2 linked regions of the Oreochromis niloticus genome follow. The protein of the gene in region 1 interacts with the protein of each later gene in a pairwise test. Links are inferred from orthologs where the notes say so. Each region holds a gene or a part of one and is shown in the gene's direction. Other genes may lie near its edges.

Evidence for each region.
Region 2: the proteins of pdik1l (region 1) and lg20h1orf174 interact in binary tests that used the Homo sapiens proteins (3 or more experiments, as listed by UniProt). The two-hybrid records come from large-scale screens. The link is inferred for Oreochromis niloticus from reciprocal best matches to the Homo sapiens genes PDIK1L and C1orf174.

Annotation. Positions count from the first base shown.
Region 1 is NC_031985.2:38,672,936-38,679,993, reverse strand, and holds the start of pdik1l (serine/threonine-protein kinase pdik1l), read left to right. Parts: upstream 1-4,058; 5' UTR 4,059-4,227; intron 4,228-7,058.
Region 2 is NC_031984.2:26,355,476-26,363,198, forward strand, and holds lg20h1orf174 (UPF0688 protein C1orf174 homolog), read left to right. Parts: upstream 1-4,699; 5' UTR 4,700-4,928; coding exon 4,929-4,940; intron 4,941-5,830; coding exon 5,831-5,902; intron 5,903-6,144; coding exon 6,145-6,513; intron 6,514-7,215; coding exon 7,216-7,356; 3' UTR 7,357-7,480; downstream 7,481-7,723. Other genes in the region: b3gnt7l (UDP-GlcNAc:betaGal beta-1,3-N-acetylglucosaminyltransferase 7, like), read right to left, coding at 1,889-3,124.

The DNA of each region.
Region 1 (7,058 bases):
GCTGATGAGACAAGGGGAAGCAAAACCACACAGGACAGGGACTATCAAAATAAAACAGGAAATACAACAGGTATGCACAGACACAAGCTCAACACTAAGACAACAGACATGGCAACAGGGAGGGAACACTCTGAGAACAAGAAAATCCTAACAAGAATGAAACATAACACAATAATAATGATCAGAACCAGAACCGTTGAGTCCACAATGAACATTAAAAAAGAGAGAAAAATATATTAAAACTGGTGTTTTTTCATTACACGTAACTGTGAATATGGATAACGTACAGTATGATGTACTATCGTGCAGGATTTATTTATTTCCCTATGCTGGATCACTTTGTTATGGAAGTTTGTTTTCACCACTGACAAAATCATTTTTGTCCTTTATGAGCCAGAATTATTATTCCAACATAACGACTCAAAATTCCAAGTGATTTTCTCAGTTCTGAGCTATGTTTTGAGAAATTTGACGTAGTAAATCAGCATTTTGAGATTAAAAACCTGAAATTATAGCTGCAAAAATGCTGTTTATTTATCAACAGAAAGAAGTTTTCATACTTTCTTGATCAAAAATCTGTTAATGGTTTCAAAAAGTCATATGACAGAGAAATATTTGAATAAATGGCATCAGTGCTTTGAAATCCTTGGAGCAAAGGTACAGTACTAATTTGTAATGATTTCATGAACAACAAGATAAGATGTGACCATCAAAGAAATCCTTAAACAGACTGAGACCGTGTCATCTAAAAGCCAAAGCTGAAAGTATTCTGCCCTCTTGTGGGGGAATTTAATAATACCATAGATGGGATTTTCAGCTGATATAAAGGTAGCTGTTGAACAGGTTAACACAGACTAACATATGAAACTGCACTAAATCTAATAAACCTACCTTAAAACTCAGGGTGTGTTTGATAATATAGTACAATCATAGTCAAAGGTTTTGAGAACAACACAAGTATTGGTTATCACAAAGTTTGCTGGCAATCTGCATGTACTCCAGAATATTATCAAGATTGATCAAATGCATCCACGTGTTTCATCTTTGCCATAAAAATGAACATAATCCTATAAAACCCATTTCCACTGCTACCGATGGACTCTCTGACATCATTAGTGATCCTCTCATTAACAGAGGTGAGTGTTGATAAGAACATGGCTGGAAATCACTCTGTCATGCTGACTGAGCTAAGCAGGGTTTATATGTTCTTCCTCTGTGAATTGGTCAGGGTCCACTCGATCCCAGTAGTTTAATCATCAGACAATTAGTGCGAGGGTCCCTGCAGATGTCTGCATGCCTGCCTGTTTTTTCTGACCGCACTGGTTTGTCTGTGGAGACCATTTGGGCATGCTCCTCAGGTGGCGGACTTTAAGTGGAAGTCAAAAAAGCTTACTATGAATGACTGCTTGGCTGTTGGGTCTCCAGCTGTCAGTGTTTGTGTCCACAATGGAGTGTAATCAAGCCCTTAGAATAGCAGACTGGACGCTTTAAATGGAGGGCAGTGTTTGAAATCATCGTCCGTCCTTAGTTACCTGCAAGGAAACATGAGCAGTCATCCTTGCTTTGCATAAAAGGATACTGCTGCTAGTAGAAGTTCAATTGTTATGAAGAAGGCTTTAGTGTCCAGCAAGCACTGTCTGCTAAAGGTAATTCAGCTTCAGGATCGGGGCACCACCAGTGCAGAACGTGGTCAGGAATGCAGCAGGCAGGTGTGAGTACATCTGCATGCACAGTGAAGCAAAGGCTTTTGGAGGATGGTCTTTTTTCAAGCAGGGCAGAGAAGTTGCCACAAAAACATCAAGGACAGACTGGTCTTTTCTCTGTTTGGGGCATCCAGAAACATGATTGCACAGTGAAGGAAAAGGTGGAGTGCTACCATCAGTCCTGCATCATGCCAACAGTAAAACACCCTGGTACCATTCATGTGTGGGGTTGCTTCCCATCCAAGCGAGTTAACTCACAATTTTGCCATGAAGAACACAGCCACAAATAAAGAACGGTACTAAAACACCCTCTGAGAGCAACTTCTCCCAGCCATCCAAGCAACTCCCAAGCCCCCTGAGGTGTCCCGTTTCCTCCTCAGCCACCAGCCCCCAGCCAGGCTTCCTGATGCATTCCATCTCCACTGCTGCTGGCGTTTTGTCTGGTCTCCTGGCAGACTCTGTTGCTTCCTCCATCGATGCAGGTCTCTTCCAGTAAATCATCTCCTCAGATCTCCTGCCAAGCCTCTGGATGGGCCACATCTCTTCTAGTGCTGGCCTCCAGGGTTCCTTCACTTATGTTGCTGGCTACCTGGCGAGCCTCCAGAGTTGCTCCGTCTATGTCTAATTCATTATAGTTTTTATTTATTTTGCATTTTTATTATTTATTATGGGCAGCATGGGCATGGTGGTGCAGAGTTTACCACTGTCACCTCTCAGAAAGTACTGGCTTCAGATCCACACTGGGGCCTTTTTGTATGGACTTTGTATTGTTCGCCACGGATACTCTGGCTTCCTACCGTAGTCCAAAGACATGTATGGGGTTAGCTAAATTAGTGAATCTAAATTGACTGTAAATGTAAATGTGCACATGAATGGTTATGTGTCTCTATCCTTGTGACAGGCCACATTGTGTTGGCTACACGACTTCAAAAGCATCTCCAAAACTGCAGCTCTTGTGAGATGTTGTCAGTCTGCAGTGTTCAGGATCTATCAAAGGGGTCCAAGTAAGGAACAGTGGTGAACCAGCGACAGGGTTATAGGTGGCCAAGCCTCACTCATGCACACCTGTCCCCCTCTTCTTCACATGTATTTTATTTTGCTTCTACTGACTTTCATTATTCTTGTCTCCAGAGCATACCTCCACCTCTCCAGGTTCTCTTCCAGCTCCTCTCAGATCACAGTATCATCTGTGAACATCATAGTCCATTCCTACCCCACCTCATCAGTCAACCTGCTCATCACCACTGCAAACAAGAGCGGGCTCAAAGCTGATTCCTTGTAATCTCATGTTCACCTTGAACACATCTCTCACTCCCACTGCACACCTTACTACTGTCTTGCTGTCCTCATACGGACCACTTCACATACTTCTCTGGCACTTCTGACTTCCTCCTGCAGTACCAAAGTGCCTCTGTTACCCTATTATATGCCTTCTTTAGATCTACAGAGAGACCTCTATATTTGCAGCAACGCCCTGCATCAGCAAACTCAAAGCAATCACACCTGTGGTGCTCTTTCTTCGCATGAAGCGATTATATCAATTGCACAATGTCCACTCTAGAATACTGAAAATTATTGGACAGCTAGTATAGGTTTGTTCATCTGTTCAGTTTTAGGATTTTGGTCATGTGTTTTCTGTAAACGTGTTAAAATCAGACAAATAGGTTTGTCTATCATCCAAGCATCAGTGTCTGTATTTGAGAAAGAACTACAGGTGATATTTGGATAGCAGGCCCTCTACATTAGATTACATAAACATGTACAGGTGTGTACGGAAGAGGATTAGTGCCACTGGAAATAGAAAAAAGTGGGGGTCTTTTTTTTGCAGAGTAAAAAAATTCCCAATCCTCTTCTGCAGGTGCACATGGCATTTGGTTCACTAAGTGATATTTGGTGTGAAGGCTAGAAGGAACGTGTTCTCATTTCACTGACTGAATAACGCTAATCAAATGTGCTAGTTATAATAGGAAGTTTGCCATTTTTTGAAATACACCGTGCCTTTTGCCATCTTTGAGTCAGGATTTCATTTCAGATGTTAAAGTATAAGAGTTTAGTTTAAAATAAAACAAACAAATAAAAAATCCCCACAAAAAGGACTAAAAAAGTCAACCAAACACAGAGCAAGTAAACAACTCTTAGAATATAAAGCAAAGCTGAATTTTCTGATGCAACAAGACTTAATGAAGAGCCAAAGTACATTTCTCTGCATGTACTTTAGAATTTTTTTTTCATGAAAACACGTTTAGAAAAATATACCCCCGCCCGTCAACGTTTCTCCACCTCCTGGTTACTGAGTCTCCGTTATAAAAATGTATCTATGGAAATTTTATTTTGAAGAGTATGACCGGAAGTCGTCCCTCTATCGCCACTGACGCGCTGTGCTGCATAGCAGCTGCGCGCTCTCACGTCCAGTGTTTGACAAAACCTTCTTGGTTTGACTGTGCGAGCAGAACGTGCGCGGCGGTAATGGCTGCCAGGGAGAGTAAAGAAGACAACAAATGAACCCCCGAGAATCGACTCGAAGGTGAGCTTGATAACATGTTATTCCGCGGCCCGACAACTGTTGTTTCTTCTACATATCAACTATTGTCTCGTCTGCTGTAGCTACTTGGGTCGCGTGTGTGTGTTTTGAGGTTGGATTTTTTTCTGATGCCACACACACGCACACACATACACACACACGCGCGCGCACACACAGAGGACAATAAACTGTCAATACCCTGTGCTTATCACGCATGCCCCCTCTGTGCCCCGGTGCTGGTACCGTTAAAGAGGCATGGACTTGTCCTAGCTAGATGCGTCAAATACCACCGTACATGTCAGTTGTGCTGAAGATATATGGACTCTTTGTTAGCTCAGGTTAACGTGATTAGCTAACGTTAGCTGAGCAACAACATCGTTAGCTGACAGTAGGCAGGCCAGATAGCTGTTAGCCTCTTAGCCAATCAGCCAAGTGGATTTGTAATCAGCCCCTTAGCACGCTGGCTATCGCTCCTTCCGTCCGGGAGTCAGCCTTTCGCTGCCGACTTTTGGGAGACATCCATCAGCTCCGAACCTGTCACTGTCCCTACTTTAGAATGAAGTTTTCTGATTAGTCCACTGAATATTAGGATACAGACAGGTGTTTAATACCGGTCATTCCCAGTATGGCAGGCAGAGTTGTTACAGTGCTAAGTTGTGTTTTGCTCCAAGTCGAAAGTGCAACAGCCCATCAAATGAAACAACACTAACATAAGTTGGCTTTATAATAAGAAGAAATGGTTATAACTGAGCTATTATTGATATGTGAAAAAGTGATTTTGTGCACTGGTGAGTTTTACTTATCGAGTATTGCTGAAACAGTATTCCAATAGCCCATATCATCAAATACTATTAATTTTTTTTTTTTAAAAAGGTACTTCCTAATCTGATTATGACCGAGCTCCTCTGCAAGGTAACGTAACCCTGTAGTGGTGTCACTTTAACACAATGCTTTCTGCAATAGTTGTATATGGTGTTGAATCCTGTGTGCATTATGAAGCAGCAGAGGGGTATGCTGCGAACTGAATACTATACAGGTTTTCCTCATGTGTTTGTTATTAATTGAAAGTTAAAGCTGCTTTTTTTAATTATAGGAGAAAGGGCGGGGTGGGGGGCACTTATCTTTCACTTCACTCATCTTACATGCAAATTGGTGTGTAACAGGCTGTGCTTAAGCCAAATTACTATGGTGGCAGTAGTAATAATAATAATAACAATAACATGTTATTATATATTATAATTTTATTTGCTGCCTTGTTGCTGAAACACAGTAGGATTCTTTGTTGTATCACTTGTTCAACAAGAAAAAGACGCCTCCATCCTCTGTCACTGTTTTACATGAGCACAGCTCACTGGGTAAACAGTTAGAAAATATTATAAGTATTTATTTACTTTGTCGACAGCTTACAGTTGTCATCCAGTTACATTATATCTGTAATCTTTATGTTTGCTGTTCTAATAACTGTGTAGTTATACTGATTGTAATCTGTCCCTGTTTTTAGTTCTGTCCATCACTCAGCTGTCTGTTTTATGCCACTGAGTTATAAAGTAACAATAATCAGAAGTATAGTATGATAAATAAAAATGAAGGGAAAAAGAAGTATTGATAACTCATCAGTGCAATCTCAGGTCACGTCTTCTTGAAAAATATGAGCAGTGTTATAATGTTGTACAGGCCTAACTGACAGGAATGTTCTGTGTCGGAGCTTCTCATTGGGAGCGTTTCCTCTGCCGTCCCGTCACAGGTCAGTGACATGAACGTTCGCTTAGTTGGTGAATTGTAGATATTTGATTTCTATCCGGGCCTTTTGTTAAGAAGCTAAACTGTGAATGGTTGTTGCAGCTAAACTAAGATAACTGCAGAAAATGATGGTTTGGTTGACGGTCTATATGAAGGTAATTGTGCCGTCAGTTCTTCAGCCTGCTGTGCTCGGGTCAGAGGGACGTAAGGATCATCACACAGGTCTGTGCTGTTCGTCCGCCTGTCTGTCTTTTGTGACCATGTGGATTCATCCACAGAAAATTACAGTGCACCAAGTATGCATGTCCCCCAAGGGATGCACTTTCAAGAAATGGAACAGGAGCCTGGCTGTGACGTCTCCGGCTGTCAGTGTCTTTGTCTCAGCCGAGTAGAATCCAGGCTTCACATTTCCAGGACCACAGTGTGATCTTAGCTGGCTTTAGCACTGTTCAGGAGGACACAGATGTTAATATGAGCAGTAAGGAGAAATGTGGACCAACTATCACGAGCTGTGGTCTAAACAGTTTAAACATGTAAACTCCAAACTGTTGCTTTCAAATAATGTTTCTGTGTCCTGAATATTTCACTGTGGACTGTGGACATGTTACTCACCCACAGTGTTTGTCATTGCTGCTGTTCTTTGTTTGGATTCCTCCATTGTTTTTACTTTAGTGAGCCAAGTTGTTTTTCATGTTTTGGGATAAAGTATCAAATCATTACTCTGGTGGTGCAAAGTCACAGCAGGAGGACAGACAGAGAACTGGTTTGGTGACCTCAGAGAGGCTGCAGAGCAGAAACAGGACTCTGTCACTGCTGGGAAAGAGTGTGAAGTTGAACTGTGGGCAAAGAGACTCCGAGGAGAGGCACCTGACAACTGTTTAGGTCTTTATTTGTCACAAAGTTTGTTGTGTTAACTCATTCACCCAACGTTTGCGTGTTAGGTGAATGAGAGCAGAGGGAGGCACAGCTCTCTGGGAGCTTTGTGGCAGGAAGGGCACCCGCAGTAAACATATTTACCAAATCACCCGCTGTGGCAACCCCTTACAAGAACAAGAGTAACTTTATTGATCTCAAAGGGAAATTCGTACGTCTGA
Region 2 (7,723 bases), on another chromosome or scaffold:
AAGTTTGGACCTTTTAAGATTTCATCCTCTGATCCATGCACACTGCAGATAACTAGCTGTCCCATGGAACTCCACCCAGCTTCTACACACTGTAAGGATTGGCAAATTTATGCTCCACATCACAACTAAAATCAACCGTTTCTTGTGTTGAATCGGCCTATACCCAATGAATGGGTTGAGAAACTTCTATGGGTAACCGTTGCAGTTTCAGTAAAAATTTATCTAGTTGCTGCATCCCTTCAGAAGACGATGACTCATACCTTCTTGCACACCCAGTAACAGGAGGAGGAACGAGGTCACAGTTTAGTTACAAGCAGAAGATGTTCTTTGCTTTGAGGGAAGCTTTGCTGTCGACTCCACAGTTAGCCAACTGTTTACATATTTGCTTTCCTTTTATACATATTCTATATAGAAATAGCACTTTTGCCAAAGGATGATGTTTTACTGCTGAATTTCTAGCACACTACAGTGACTTACTTCCCTCCACAATGCCTACTGATAGTATGAAGTAGAAGTAAAATGAGACAAAGTAGGTCTCTGAATGAAACAGCACTGCTAGAATGAGGAAAGCAGTGGACATGAATATGCTACATACTGTATGTACACCACATTTTTTCCCTCCAGTGTTCAGAATCACATCACTGGCTTCAAACTGATAGAATCACAAGCTGAAATGTTAAATACTACATATAACATTTAGCCTGGTTTATAATTATCTCTTATGTTGTGCTCATGTTGTGCTGCACAGTGTTATGATGACGACAAAGTGATTGTGATGTATCTGGAAACGGTAATAACATTAATGTGAGCGTATGTTTTATTAGTGGGGAAACTACTTGCTTTAGTCTGCTTCTGTACTGAGAGCTGCCGCAAAAGTAGATGTAAAAGTTGTGTTCATGCGTTTGTAGTCAACAGCATTTTGGCTTCTTTTTTCTGCAGATGTATTTGTTAAATAAAGCATTATTCAGGGACCATTGCACATGTGCTTCCATGTAATCAAAATTCCCAATCAGTGTTTCACCATAAAAGTTACATGTAATACACGGCTCTCTTTAAGAGCCCTCTGTGTATTAAAAAAATGGGCGGTGTCCAACTTCCAGGATTATTGTTGAGCAATATAAAACACATATCAATCAAGTTTTGCAACATTATTCAGTGTTTACAAGAGAGCTCTGGTTTTATTGACACTAACACACATGAATTTACAGTGTTACACACACGTGGTTTCTTTGGTTTCAGGGCTGCCTTTGTAAATCTTACAAAACAAGGTAAAACAAAACCAATATATTATCTTTAAAATACCCAGAATTTGATTTTTACAATTTACAATTTCTATTCAATAAAATAATCATTCAAATATGAATGCAGCTGTGTGTTCTATGCTGTAAATCATGTAGTCCCATGTTGCACTTGAACGTTGCAATGAATTCCTGAAGTCGGAAAAGGAAGCTTAAGGGAAACACTTGGATGTAACAAGTCAGTCTTTTTCGCACCTGCACGAACACCCGTGGGTTTCTTACATCTATGTCTCTAAATTAATTTTTAAATTCAGATTAAGGCAGTTCAGTCTGGAATGGCACAGAAACACGGGTGCTTTCACAATGCGAAAGCTGTGCTCTAGTGGTTTTTACAAAACGGAAAATCAACCCATACAGAAGTGGAGATGAGAGCGCCAACGTGCCGAGTCAGCTGAAAACAAATCAATCGTTTTAATGTGACACACAATATTAAATTCAGTTCCTCTTCCATGTCAGACCCGTGCGTAACGGTAAAGGAAAAATTAACGTGACTCCGCAGATTGCGTAAAGATCATCAAGTATGATCGTCCAAAGAAGACTTCCCGTGAGCTCAGATTTAGTGAATTTATTTACTTTGTACTTTCTGTCAATCATATCGAAGTTTTTTGTGCGCAGATCAGGTCTTGGCTGTGCACCACGCTCCACATCCTGAGCAGCTCCTGCGCGCTCAGTTTGTGGACCACGATTAGGTTTTTATAAAAGCAGGGCTCTGTGTTCATTGTGCTCGCCCTGCGTCTGGTGATGCCGAATGTCCTGAAGCCCGGATGCATCTCTGGGGATAAGTGGATCCTCTGCAGGCACATCCCCAAAAACACATCATCAATGGGGTACAACTCCACGCCCTCCGAGGTCACGAAGAGCCTACGGGCTAAATAGGCGGACATCAGAAACCCCCCACCTCCCACGTAGGGTGGATACGGCTTGTCGTACAGCTCCTTGGGGATGTAATATTTGCTCTGTCGGTTTCGGATGGGGATCGCCTTGGAGATGGTGTCCCCCATAAACAAGCGGGCCGCTTTGCGCTGCTCCACTTTGAAGTCGATGAGCTCCAGCAGGTTGTGCGTGTTCACAAACACATCATCGTCTCCCTTAAATATAAACTGCACGTTGGGGCAGTAGATGTAGAACCACTTGAGAAAATTGACCTCTTTCAGAGTCAGGTTGAAGAAGGTGTCCATGAAGTCCCACTGCAGGATGTCCCCAAAGATTTGGTCCTCATACTCGATCAGTTTCTGTAGGTTCTTGGCGTCTTTGCCAGTGTTTGGGCTTCCGAGTAAAAACAAAGTTTTAATTTTCTTCCCATTTACGGTTTGCTCCTTCCCCCAGGTTTTACGCACGGCCTCCCTCCGGTCGTGCTGCTCAATAACGGACTTGACCACCACGAGGAGATGAACGTTTCCATCGGCGCACTTCTCCGGGTGATTGATGAGCATGGGGAAATACCTGCAGTGTCTGTGAAGCACAAACTGGTGAAATCTCTGGTCCAAGCGCCGGAACCAGTCCTGGGTCCTCACCGATGCGTCCGCGCTACAGTTCAGAACCTGTGCGTCCCAAGAAGCCCGAGTTACGTTCGGGACCTGCTGTGTCTCCAAATCCTTGACGGGCACGGGAGAATCTGAGGTCCCCGAACTGGTCATAGCTGTCTTCTTGAATGAAAAACACTCCGAGCCGCACCAGGCCGGATCCCTCACATGTTTAACCCCCACTGCGTCTTTCTCCGACAGTTTCAGCTTTTGGATCATGAGAAAAGACGCAAAGATCAGAGACAGACTCAACAGGGGTTTCAGAAAAGCGGGGATCCGCTTTCTCCGAAAAAAGTGATCCATTGCTGTCACCGTGACACGCTGGGACCCTCAGATGCCTTCATAATGTTTCACAACTGTGCGCCTGAGTGGAGACTGCAGTCCCACCTCACGAAGACACGGGGTAAGAGCGCTCAGTCAAGTGTCTCCTTGGCCACGTCTTGACCATGACAGCGCAGAGTGAAGTTACACATTCGTCCCTCTTTGCTGTGTAGTTCGTCCCCGAGCTTCTTCTCAGGGTTTTGCCTCCACACAGACTATCTGGAGATCTGATGGAGGATACCACTATCTCACCCCACCCCCAAATATCTCCTCCCCTTAATAAACTAAACTGATCTGGGACCTGTAGGTATCCCATTTCTCTCTCTCTCTCTCTCTCTCTCTCTCTCTCTCTGTCTAACACACACACACACACACACACACACACACACACACACACACACACACACGTGTTCACCAGGTTTTGCCGATCCACTAGCCACCACATCATTATCTTATTCTTAATATTGAATATCAGTAGCTCCTTTAATCCGCGTTAATTTACATGATTAGAAGTGATAGAGAACAGAACTAAAATACAACGAAATGATTCAGAAATAATTCTATAAATAAACTAACAACCATCTTCATGTGAGTAATAAAACAAACACCACAGCGTTTATAAAGGAACAGCGATGATGATTTTCTAAAGAAGTTTGACAGTCTAATTTTAATTCCAGTGCTAGGTGAGAAATACTGGACTACAGCACTCCTCGAGCTGTCTCGGTGTTTTCTGTCTCCTAACGTACAAAAATCCCACACTGAGTCCGTGACGCTCAGATCCGTGGGGCCCCACCATCTGTTGCCGCGTGTTGTTGTCGGTTGCTCTGGAGGAGTGGGAGGCAATCAATAGCCTCCTGACAGGGACTGTGCGATGAATGACAATTAGAACATGAAATGATTTCTAAATTATGTTTACTTACTGTTTTGGTACCGGACAAAGTCAACTGTATGTTCTAAATGATTACACAGCTGTTAAAATCGAAGCCAGTGTGACCTGTTGGCTGATTACAAGAATTAGACGCTTCTTTAAAAACCTTATTGCGCCATCTTGTGGACATTTATTGGAACTGCATTCGACTTCCGGAATCTCCTCCTTCATACGTCACTGCTAAACAAAAGCCAAACTTTGAAACATGGCGTGAACTGGCATTTGACGTATGATTGTCCCGTCTCACAAAATAACACGGAGAAATACGGGCTTACTGTGAACCAGCGTGTCACGAGAACCCCTTTCATTAGCATAAGTCACAAGATGGGTGGAAACAACTCCCGCAGAAGCACTGAGATGGCGTGAAAGTGGAGAAGGCCAAGTTTGTGGAAAAATAAAATATTAAAATAGTGGGGAAAAAAACCTAAAAGAAAATCAGATACATACAAAAATACATCTAGTAAAAAGCATTTACAAACCCCTCGAACTAAACTACTTTTAATTATATTTTTTATAATAGAAATCTAATATTATATATATAAATATAAAATAACACGTGTGTTTTAAGATATATTTCTTTTTTTCTCCATTTTCACTAATGCTCTTTAGTACAGGGTGGTGTCGGTGGCGGTGCAGTGTGGCGCAGAGGACGTCCTGATATTGAAACTGCAGACCTCTGAGTGAACCTCACCAGCAGGAAATACACCGGGGAGGCGGCGGGGAGCGCTCACATCGTAAAATTATCGCCGTTGTTTAGTCGCTAGTTGAAGCCAGCCGATTGGAAAGCCAGAAAACCCCAAGGTGGTGGAAACTTTCAATATCGTAGGTGCTGAAAAACCTAAATATCCACGCCGGCAAATGATACATAAGGTAAGTACGTGTTTAAATAAATGAGAAAACCGGCAGGCAGGTCGAATTAGTTATTTTTTTCTCTCCTACTGTTAGCTCGTAGCTGGCCGCATTAGCTTGTTGCCGAGATGTCGAAATTAGGCGTTTTTGTTGTGTTTAGTGACGCTTTAGCTTCGTCGTGACCTCCGTGTTGGTGTTATTGTACCGATACCGACTGCTGGAGTCATTGTTCTGCCGCGTGCTTCAAATTATGATACCCGGGGCATTTTTGACCGGGGTGGGTTATTTTCCGACGATATTGCTTTGATTTTTGTAGGCGAAAGCTAGCTGCTGTGCTGAGCAGGTGTTGTCTTAGCAGTTCAACTATCAGCTGCCTTTTATGGACTCACATTCGGCGTAGCTCGGGCACGTCTACACGTAAAAAAGCAATGCCGGAGGGATTAGGCGTATTGACTGTACTGGAAGAACTGGGTCATAGTTGACGAGTAACGCGACTTTAATTTGCCAGTAAATTAGCAGGAGTTTAGCCGGCGGAGGATAGAGGGGCGCTGTTGGGGGGTTTAAGCAGCTCAGCGGGCTGCAGAGCCAGCTTTATAACTTTATCCGATTGATGTTGTCCACTATTTTTATTTTTATTTTTTTTGTTAAGACAGTGTTTGAACTGGAAAATGACAAATCTCCATACAAGCGAAAATGCTCCTAAAACTGCCCCCGTTAAAGAGCTGTCCGATAAATTTAGCTTCTTTTACTGAGTGGAGTGAAAACATTTGCTAATTTTCTGCTTAGCAGGAGCAAACGCTGGCATTATGACGGCTTCCTCTCAGCTGACTAAAACCATAGTTTTTTTTTTCCCACGATGTCATTCCATTAATAAAGTACTCTATATAAACAAACATCATGATGCTTTGCAGATGCCTGGTGAAGTTGATAATTTGAAGCCAAGAAAGAGGAAGAGCAGCTCTGAGACCAGAAACACCAGAAAGGTTTGTTTTGTCTGTGTACATAATGCTGCAGATGTGTGATGAGTCGAAAAGAAAAGCAGGAGTTAAATGAGCTGCTGTTTCTGAGTGTATCTGGTATAGTTATCTACACCCCTACAGCTGTAACCCCTACACCGGACAGCTGTGAGTGGCTCCAAATTAACAGGATGTGATTACTGCAGTGGAGTCCCGCTGTGGTTACCCCAACATCATCCTAACTTTGTTCCTTAACTTTTGTATCATAGACATCTGCTGCAAGGAGGAGATGTGTGAAAAGTCCAAAGGCGAACTCGTCGTCTGAGAGCAGCTCAGCAGTTGGGAACACTAAAGCAGCTGGTCCTCTGGAGAGAGACTCCTGCATCAGCTGTGAATGCCACCAGTCTTCTGGCAGGAGGAGGTGCTTAGCATCACCAGAGCATGAAGGACAGGAAGGTAAAGAGAACGCGCTGATGATGGGACAGGATTCAGACAGCTGCGTAATGAATAGCATCTGGGACAAATATGAGCCTGAGCATATGGATTATGAAGAAACAGGCAAAATCATGTTCCCAGATGATGACAGTAATCAGATCCTTCCTGTGGAGCAGTTCTTTGGAAACTTGGATGCTGTACAGGTGAGGCACGTTGGTTTTAATTCCTGGGGGAAACAGGTTTTTGTTTTTTTGGTAAAGAAAACTTCTGACTGATGATCAGTTTAGAAGAATCAGCATCCATATCTATTATTCTAATCTATTCATTTAAAGCTGCTCTTCTAGGGTGTTTTGTAATAGACATGGGAGTTGGAAGATATGTTAGACTTGTTATACATTTGGACCTTAAAATTGGTTTAAATTTCAGCAGTAATTGGTGCATTATTGGATGTACCAAAAGGGTCTTCCTGCTAATAAAACACAAAACATGGGCAATAATGTGCAGAGTAGAAGACCACGAGTTGTTACACAAAAGCCTCACTCTGCCAGGAGTCCCTAACGTATCATTTTAAGTTTGCCTTGAGGCCTTGAGGTTTGGATTCTTTCTCTCAAATAAATATGATTTGCAGTTTTTTTTCCTTCTCTTTTTCTGGTCTCACTCAGTTAACATTAAACAAACTGACATTTCAACCTCTTATCAGCAGGGCTAGAGTTATATGAGAGCAGTAACAACCCCTAGTTAGCTTTGTTACTCACTGATAACTTTAATTTTATCCATACACATAGATTCTATCCCCCCATTCCCACCACATCTCTAGGCCCATCATTCCTGCAGTTATATCTTCAGCACAATTTGTGAAAATAATGTTGCATTAAATGAATTCTAAATATGGATTCATCCTACAGGATTTTCCTGAAAGATCATCCACGTCTTCTAGCCGCGCCCAAAGGAAGAACAGGAGGCGACATTACTATGCTCGAGAGGACAGCGATGAAGACGAGGTGGATTTCAGTGGCGTGCAGCGAGACAACGGGGTGGGCACTTAGGCTACATTCACACTGCAGGCGAAAGCGCATCAAATCCGATTTTTTTTTTACCCTATGTGACCCATATCTGATCATGGTATGACAGTTTGAACGGCACAAATCCGATATTTTCAAATCCGATCTAGGTCACTTTCGTGTGTGGTACTGAATCCGATACATATCCGATGTTTTAGAAAGCGACTGCTGTTTGAACGGTCATGTCGCATTAAATCCGTCTTTTACGTCACTGACACAAGACAGACGCCAATTATCAGCGCCGGAGAAGCGCCCGAGAAGACATCGCGAACGCTTCCTGGCCATCCAGTGTAGATGTCAGTGAAACTGTTGGGAAGACAACGTGAACATTTTATTTGTACTGTATAATCTG